Nothobranchius furzeri: one gene and its partner. The protein of the gene in region 2 interacts with the protein of the main gene of each other region in a pairwise test. Links are inferred from orthologs where the notes say so. Each region holds a gene or a part of one and is shown on either strand. Other genes may lie near its edges. The genes, in order: E3 ubiquitin-protein ligase RNF14 and dachd.

The links.
Region 1: the proteins of dachd (region 2) and E3 ubiquitin-protein ligase RNF14 interact in binary tests that used the Homo sapiens proteins (3 or more experiments, as listed by UniProt). The two-hybrid records come from large-scale screens. The link is inferred for Nothobranchius furzeri from reciprocal best matches to the Homo sapiens genes DACH1 and RNF14.

The regions. Positions count from the first base shown.
Region 1 is NC_091750.1:54,468,920-54,473,489, reverse strand, and holds the start of E3 ubiquitin-protein ligase RNF14, read right to left. Parts: upstream 2,810-4,570; 5' UTR 2,677-2,809; intron 2,118-2,676; 5' UTR 2,110-2,117; coding exon 1,959-2,109; intron 1,860-1,958; coding exon 1,729-1,859; intron 1,627-1,728; coding exon 1,440-1,626; intron 1,166-1,439; coding exon 807-1,165; intron 700-806; coding exon 471-699; intron 384-470; coding exon 211-383; intron 1-210. UniProt on the Homo sapiens protein: E3 ubiquitin-protein ligase that plays a key role in the RNF14-RNF25 translation quality control pathway, a pathway that takes place when a ribosome has stalled during translation, and which promotes ubiquitination and degradation of translation factors on stalled ribosomes.
Region 2 is NC_091754.1:28,486,567-28,490,385, reverse strand, and holds part of dachd (dachshund d), read right to left. Parts: intron 329-3,819; coding exon 181-328; intron 1-180. UniProt on the Homo sapiens protein: Transcription factor that is involved in regulation of organogenesis. Seems to be a regulator of SIX1, SIX6 and probably SIX5.

The DNA of each region.
Region 1 (4,570 bases), on a different chromosome or scaffold from region 2:
ATCGCAAGATCTCGAAAATCCCATGCATGCCTGTCTGCGCACCTCAGGTCTCCGCACCGGAGTAGAGCGGGTACCAGTAAAAATTGAGTTCGGAAGCGAGCGGCTGCGGAAGGCGGGGGCGGAGCGGAGCGGAGGTAGAGGGATTTTGGGGTGAGCCCTGGTGTTTCTAAATATGAGCTTTAGTTTCTCCATTAGGGGGCGCTGGTCTACCTGAATGTTTGTTCCACAGTTAGGACAGCATTTACAGTTCTCCTTCAGCCAATCCCGGCTAAAAGATTCCTCCACCGCTTTCTGCACCACCTGTTTCCCAAAACGCTGCTCCATGAACTTCTTCCCCTCAGGCGTGGCTGACAGGTACTCATCTCTCAGGCTGCGCAGGTCATCTGGAGAACAAGGCAGAAAGAAAACGTAGCAAGTGAAACCGTTTCCTTACTCCTTATGAGCTTCTGAGAGTTTGTCTGAGCCGTTACCTGCAGTGATTTTGCAGTGAGAGACACCGTGATAGCCCAGCTTACACAACGTGCAAAAAGCATACTGGCAAGCTGAGCAAATGCCCATTGTTGTGTCTGGTTCCACCATTACAGCAGTTCCACACGAACGGCGGGGACAGTAGACCACATCAGCCATGAGGTCCAAAGTGGACTGGAGCAGCAGACGGTCGTAGCGGGCAAACAGCTCCTCGTCTACCAGCTGTTTCACCTGAGAGATGAGATCAGGGCAGATAAAGTAGAAAACAACACAATTATCAATACGGTTGGGCTGAAGCTGAACTTGTTAAAAGCCACATTCCTGTAGAAGTGCCTGACCTGTGATGGCGTAGCGACTGACGTGCATTTGGGCTCGGGGCAGTTAAGGCACTGAACATTGCCTTCTCGTATTTGAATCTCAAAGTATTCTCTCATGCAGTCCTTGCAGTAAACGTGCAGGCACTCCTTAAAGCAGAGGCAGGTGGAGCCCAGCTTATCCGCGAAGCAGATCCCGCAGCTGAACACCTTTCCGTCAAACACCCGTTGTCTCTGAGTTTCGTCAAAGTCCAGGAGCTGACGTAGGGGGTCGGAATGAGGGTCCATCAACACGACAGCTCGCTGGTCTGGATGAGACAACAGTGAACCGTGCTGCTCAGATGTCTCCTTTATTACTTCTGTTTTCTTCTCCTCTGGTTTCTCTGAAGGAGAAAAGACCAAAAAGAGAAGTTCCAATGTGCATTCAAGGATTTGAAAAGTTAACAGTGGTGTGAAGAGACACCTGGGTAAGAAAAGAGATGTTCTGATGGAAAGTATTATGATGCAACCTAATTTTGTCAGGAATGAAAGCCAAAAGAGGGCATGAGAAGTACTTACAATAATAAAATACAGAATTTATTTGAAAAACAATAACAGCAATTGCAGTGTTAAACCACATTTTCTACTAGCAAGCTTTGGTAAAATGCCTCATCATACCTTTGCTTGCAAGGTCAGTTTTTCTTCGTTCGCCAGCAGCCTTGCTGTTCCTGATGACTTCCACGGGAGACTGGATGCCCAGAAATTCTAGGGGCTCCTCTTTGAGAAACTGGATCCATGTGAAAAGAATCTCTGATCCCTGGTTTTCCTCCCACAACTCATCCAGATGTCGGCATAGGGAGCTCAGCTGGAAGAATCAAAGAGCAGAGGAAGAATTGAAGAGGATGCCAGAGGAAGATGCTAGATGTGGCATTTACAAAAGGCCTGGATGAGTTAGTACGACTCTTACCTGGGATTTGGTCATCCATTTAGAGCTGAGAGTGAAGGATGGTGGACGTGTGGAAGGGTAATCTGAAGGAAGCTCAAAATTGAGCACCAAAGGAGGTAAGAAACACACATTGTGTTCAGTTGTCTTCTCGCCTGCAACAAAGAAAAAGGGAGGCTAAAGCAGAGTAGTGAATCTAAATGCACAGCCTGTAGGGAAGCTGTGCACCAGTTGCACATCTTGATCACCGATACCTTTTACAAGAACTTTAAAACCAGGAGGAAGCTCCAGACAGAGTTGGATCTCTCCTCCTTGTGCAGACTCCGCACGGCGGAACTCCTCCTCATCATAGATACTTGCTAATGCAAGCAGCTCATCCTCCTGAGCTTCCTTATCCTCAGACATTTACATTCCTGGAACAACAACAACATCTAAAATTTACAACAGAAACAAATACGAGTACTACTACTGCTAACACTATACCACTTAGTGAAGAAAAACACAAACTAACGCGTTTGTGTGTCGACTGAATTAAACATTTCAAAACTTTCCTAAAGACATCAAAATTAAATAACCAGATGGAGCTAATTTATAATTAAATGCGCAAATATTTATACTTTGTAGGAACTTAGCTAATGCTAAGCTAAGTTGTAGCTTATAAGTTAGCACCCAACACAATATAAACCACCACTTTTACCATGCCAGACGCCATGGTTGCTAGATTATAAACCAGCATCGATTAAATACATAACATGTCTAAAGATGGAAGCAGCTAACAAACTCGGTTGATTGCCTAACGAGGGTAAAGAACACCGGTATTTGTAGCTAGCTAACAGCTAGCTGATGTAAACAGTAGCTCTGTGGTAGCAACACATTTTTAACTTTTCTTTCTGTTGTGTGATTAAGATACAATAACACAAACAACATCAAGACATGTACAACAAATGTTGAAAATTTATTTCATTTTATTACCTTTTCTGTCCCAAGTGCACAAGTGACTTTTGCCCTGATTGGTTCCTGTCATGACGAGTCACGACGTCAACTCCTTACACACAGCCCGGCACTCAATCCGGCTACATCCGAGACACATCCAAACACCGCCTTCTCTGCCGGTGAATATTGGTATGCGAATCCACTGACAGCGCCCCCCAGTGGAGATATTGTGCCACTGCGAATTATTGCAGTGAAAGCGGGAAAACTAAACTTCTCTCTACATCTCTCTGACGGGAACGTTCGTGTGGTAGCAAAAATCACAAAAAAAGAAAGAAAGCCCATATGTGGGAGTAGCCAGTTAGATAAAGTTACTGTTCTGATTATCATTATCTATTAAAGAGACAATATGTAGTTTTTAAAATTAATCTCATTCATTGAAATGTTGTTGAAAATGAATTAAATGATGCCCATTTGTTGAAAAATATTGGTGGCTTCATAAGTGGTAGAGTGGCCGCCCTGGGACTGAGATTGGGGTTCAAATCCCGGTCAGGACACATCTAAACTCCTCTGATTTGTGTGTGTGTGTGTGTGTGTGTGTGTGTGTGTGTGTGTGTGTGTGTGTGTGTGTGTGTGTGTGTGTGTGTGTGTGTGTGTGTGTGTGTGTGTGTGTGTGTTGCTATGATTCAGCTTGCTCAGTAAGTGGAGGCAGAGCTCAGTCTTTGATCTGCTGCATTCATAAACTCAGCCTCACACACTGACAGCAATAACCCAACATCAGTGTGATCTTGTCTAAAATGGAGCAGAATTGTTATCATATTTATTATCTTCCCCCTACTCTCAGTTCCTAAATCCAACTGAGGAGTTTTTCTCTTCCTGGAGGTGGAAGGTGTATGATCAGCGTCCACATACCCAGGTGACACCAGCCATGGATGCAGCTTGTGATGACATCACAGCAGAGTCATGCAGAGCGTGGATTCAGGAAGATACTTCCCTCTGTGCGTTGACAGAGCTGATATTTGCTGTGATGTAGATGAAAATATGTGGCCAGACTAACGGGAGCGTCTAGTTGTCCATGTCTGATTTGCAGCACCATCTGTTTTACAGGATTTTTAGATTCAAAACTACTGCAGTAAGGTTTACTGAGCCAAAGGGAGTTTATATTTGTTGTAAATGTTGTTTTTCCAAATGCTGTGAACAGTAGCAAATGTACAGTATAAAGTGCATATTCATTGTGCTGATTTTGATTTAATTCTAGTTTTCTAAATGCCATGCATCCTATACAACGCTGATTTGACTCTACATGACTTTGGGGAGCACTTCCAGAGTCATGTCACAATGAAAACGTGTTCAAACCGTTTGACTTGATAGTTCAAAGATGCTGCTGTCATAACTTTTCATTGTGACGACACCGACACTGTCATTGACATAAATACTTGCTTTGAAGAACAAATGATCCATTTTGATGAAGGAACTCGCTTTTGAAGAATGAGCCCATTTTGAGCGACTGACTTGCTTTTGCAGGTTATCTACCGTGTTTTGTACTTTACGCTAATTGTTTGGAGAAATGTCTTAGCAGTGGTGCAAACTTTACTGCTATTCATCACAAGGCTGATAACTAAAGCAGCATCAACTCTGCTGAGTAATCATTGCAAACACTGAGTAAGTACTGGAGATTCACACACTGTTGTTAGTTTTTCCAACAAGTGTAGTTTTTTTATGTTTGATTAATTATAACAATTCAGCTCCATTTTAGACAAGATCACACTGATGTTAGGTTATTGCTGTCCGTGTGTGAGGCTGAGTTTATGAGTGCAGCGGATCAAAGACTGGAGCTCTGCCTCCACAATTACTGGGCAAACTGAATCATAGCAACACAAACACTGTTGGCGTTGAGGTCCAATGTAGCCACAGGTGCTCTGGGGACGCCGCCGGT
Region 2 (3,819 bases):
AGCGTTTTGTATCTAAATGAGCACAACCCTGTGAAGTCTGTACACACACTGTCACGCATGCTTGCCAACACACACACACACACACACACACACACACACACACACACACACACACACACACACACACACACACACACACACACACACACACACACACACACACACAATGGCAGGTAGTACCTCTGTTTTTCTGCTCCATGGCGAGCTGCTTCTCCAGAGTCTCCCTGAGCTCCCGCTCTCTGAACAGCTCCATCTTCAGCTCCGTCTTCTCCAGCTGTACCTGCTTCTCCTGAGCTCGCGCATTGTCGATTGCCACTTTCAGAAGGCCCTGCACCCACACACACACACACACACACACACACACACACACACACACACACACACACACACACACACACACACACACACACACACACACACACACACACACACACACACACACACACACACACACACAGGTGAAGAAGACTATTTAAGACCTCTACATAAAGTGACAGGCAATCTTTTCCTTTTTAGTCATTAAAATGTATGTTTAAAAACTAAAAGCCAGATATGTCTGATCATCTGTGGACATGAGATTAAACTGGGCTTATTTTTTATATTTTATGATTTGCATGTAGAAATTAGTTTGACTGATTTGTCATTTATTTATATATTAACATTATAAATAATTATATTTAAATGTGATTAATGATGGAAGAAGGAAAATTAACACAGAAAAAAAAACCTGATAAAAAACACGAGCAGGTACTGTGGCCTCAGATTTTGGTCTAATGTTTTCAATAACTGGAAAATCTAGCAGACATCCTCACCAACATTAGCGTGTTTAGCAGCTCGTGGCTTCAACCCATGCTTTAGAGTCCTTTAATTGTAGAAACACTCCTCTTTATCCACTGTGAAAGCTTTAAATGACTTGTGTGAACATTGACTGGAGCAGAACTCAACTGATGTATAGCGCCCACTTGTGGTGTGGAGGAAAACTATGCTCTGACGTCATGGACTACCTCTTAGTGCAATTACTTCAAAACAGCTTTTTGGAACACAAATCTGATGTGGAATTTGAATTATTTGTTTATCTTCACTAAAGACGGCTGACATTGAAGTGAGAATGTGTAGTTTTTAACGTTGGAATTATCCATCGAAATTATGTAGAAAAATAAAAATAATTATGTCCAGTAGTTGCAAAATATTAGCGGCCTTGTAACAAATAACCATAAGAATCAGGTGCAAAGTTAATAGGGCTCAGGTCTAGCATCACGTTTCCTTCTGGCTGGTTCCTGCGTCTGTTGATGATGTCACACAAGATGACTGGATGGACGTACGACTTACAGAAGTTACATTACCACATTTGAAAACGTTCAGAAAGTAAAAAACAAAACTGCTAAACTCTTTCCAAAACCTATGTGAAAGAGCAGAATAAAAAAGAAAGAGATGCAATATGTTTTTGCCGAGCGGTATTGCCGTAGTTTGAGGTGCAGGAGCCCGAGCTGATCCGTAAACTACAGCACCAGAAAATTACAATTGGCACAGAATTTTCTTGATTGAATTAACTGGATGACCATCAAAGTCTGAGGAGTCACGCCGAGGCATGCTTCCTGTTCCACAGGTAACATCACGGCGATGTGCTTTAAAACTACCATGAGATGTACGCACTGCCCCCTAGTGCCAGGAAACTACACACTGTCACTTTAATGTGGTGATAAGTCTGCACCTTTTGACCTTCCAGTAGCTGCACCTTCAAGGTCACATTTAACCTATTATCTAAATATGTGTTCTCGTTTTCATTAATGTGTATTTAAGGTGTAGTTGCTGTTTTTATACCTAATTTACTGTTTTTGTCCTTCACTCTGACTTTCTTTGTGTGTTTATGTAAGCACACACAAGAACTGGACAGAAAATGACTAAAATGGCTGATCAAGACCACTTTAAAAGATTAAACGAAAATCTTGTTCCTTGAAAGGAAAATAAGAGAGAAGGATTAGTGCAGATTAGCTTTAGTTAATGTTCGTACATATGTCTTAAACCTCTGCTTTAGAACATCTGTGAGGGGATTTTCTTCAGCCTAAAGGTAAGAATCACCTCAGACAGCTCTGCATTCTTACATGAAGACCTTCATCACAATTATTCCCCATCCACATGCAATTAGATCAAATGCACTGGACGATAGCTTACTAATTGTTGCTTCTTCTAACCCCAATTTATTCTAAGTTGCTTTATCTTCATTTTCTGCTTGGTTTCATTTAGTTGATTTGTATATAAATATTCAAGGCGAAGATCATTATCAAAGATGACTAAGAGGAGTGTTGGGAGCTCGCGACGGGTTTTGTTGTGGCGCTCTAATTACCGCAGAGCCAAAGGAGAAGCAGGACTCTGATGACGGTGGAACGAGTGCAATGAGAAGGGCAGCGGGTCCACACATCATTACACCCAGAGAGACGGAGAAAGGCATTCATCTTTCTGATTGAGGGGGTCTGAGCTGATGTCTAAACAGCTCTCTGAGTCGATGGGTGGTGTTAATGTGTGTGAGTGTTTCAGTTTAACGAAAGTGTGAGAGCTTGGTAATGAAATCTGTTTTGTACTGATTCACTTTTTTCTCTACAATTTGATCTCAAAGCACAAACTTAAAAATGTGTGTTTATAAAAAACAAAAATGCACCAAGTGACGTTTTCTGAGCCGAATCAGATTTTTTTTCCCCAAATGTTGGCTCAAAAAATTTTAATGATTGAAATTACATGCTATTTAATAAGCCATAAGACAAAAGATTCCATAGCAAATATGAAATCAGCCTTATGGATCTGCGAGGTTATTTTAAACCAGAAGATAGGAACGTTTTATTGCAGGGATTAGATAACAGCTTCGTATTCACTCAGAGACAACAGAAGAGAGAGAGAGTCGAGTTTAAAGTGGGCCTGACCACTTCGGCAAAAGTTTCTTAGCCAGCTTCCCAGAGGTGTTCTTGGTGTTCCCAGTTTTAGGAGCGAAAATGTAGAACCAGGCCTCATCACCCATGTTGAGTTCAGAATGTGAGGCCTTCTGATCATAATAAGCCTTCCTGCCCTCAGCTGATTTCTCCAGATTTGTCTGTGCAAACGAGAACGCTGCAGGCAGATGGTTCTTCAGGTCCTGCAAATATTGTTCGCTCGTGTAAGCCACAGCGCCACCAGACTGAACTGGCTGGAACTGCAGGTGATGGTTAAACATCAAGAGATCTGGTCGTGTTAGAGGAGAGGGGGAAACATAAAATAAAGAAGGCAGCTCTATTGAATAAAGCCTTTTCATTAGCTTCCTCTATCAACTTTACTTCCTATGACATAATTTCTACAACATTAAAGATAATTTAACATCTATTCAGTCCAATAAAACATGAACAATTAGCAATTAGCTATTGCTAATATGACTTAGCTGTTTCTATGCTGTGTTTTTGGATTGGAATAAACTTGTACAGTTAAGAATGATTTTATTCTGGTTTCTGCCTAGGACATTCGATCCCAGCTCCCGCCAGAGAATGCTGCTGTCGTGTCCCTGGACAAGACCCTTAACCCATCTTGCCTGCAGGTGGTGGTCAGAGGGAGCAGTGGCGCCTGTGTTCAGCAGTCTCAATTTAATCAGTGCGCCCCAGGGCAGCTGTGGCTACATTGTAGCTCATCACCACCAGCGACTTAATATGTTGTGAAGTGCCTTGGGGGGGGTGGGGGGTGGGGGGGGGGGTGGGGGGGGGACCCTAAGAATACAGATCATTTATCATTTCTGCCGAGGCAAACTGTCACTAAATAATATTATTTTCTTAAAGAGCAAGTCACCCCCTACAAGAAACTTAC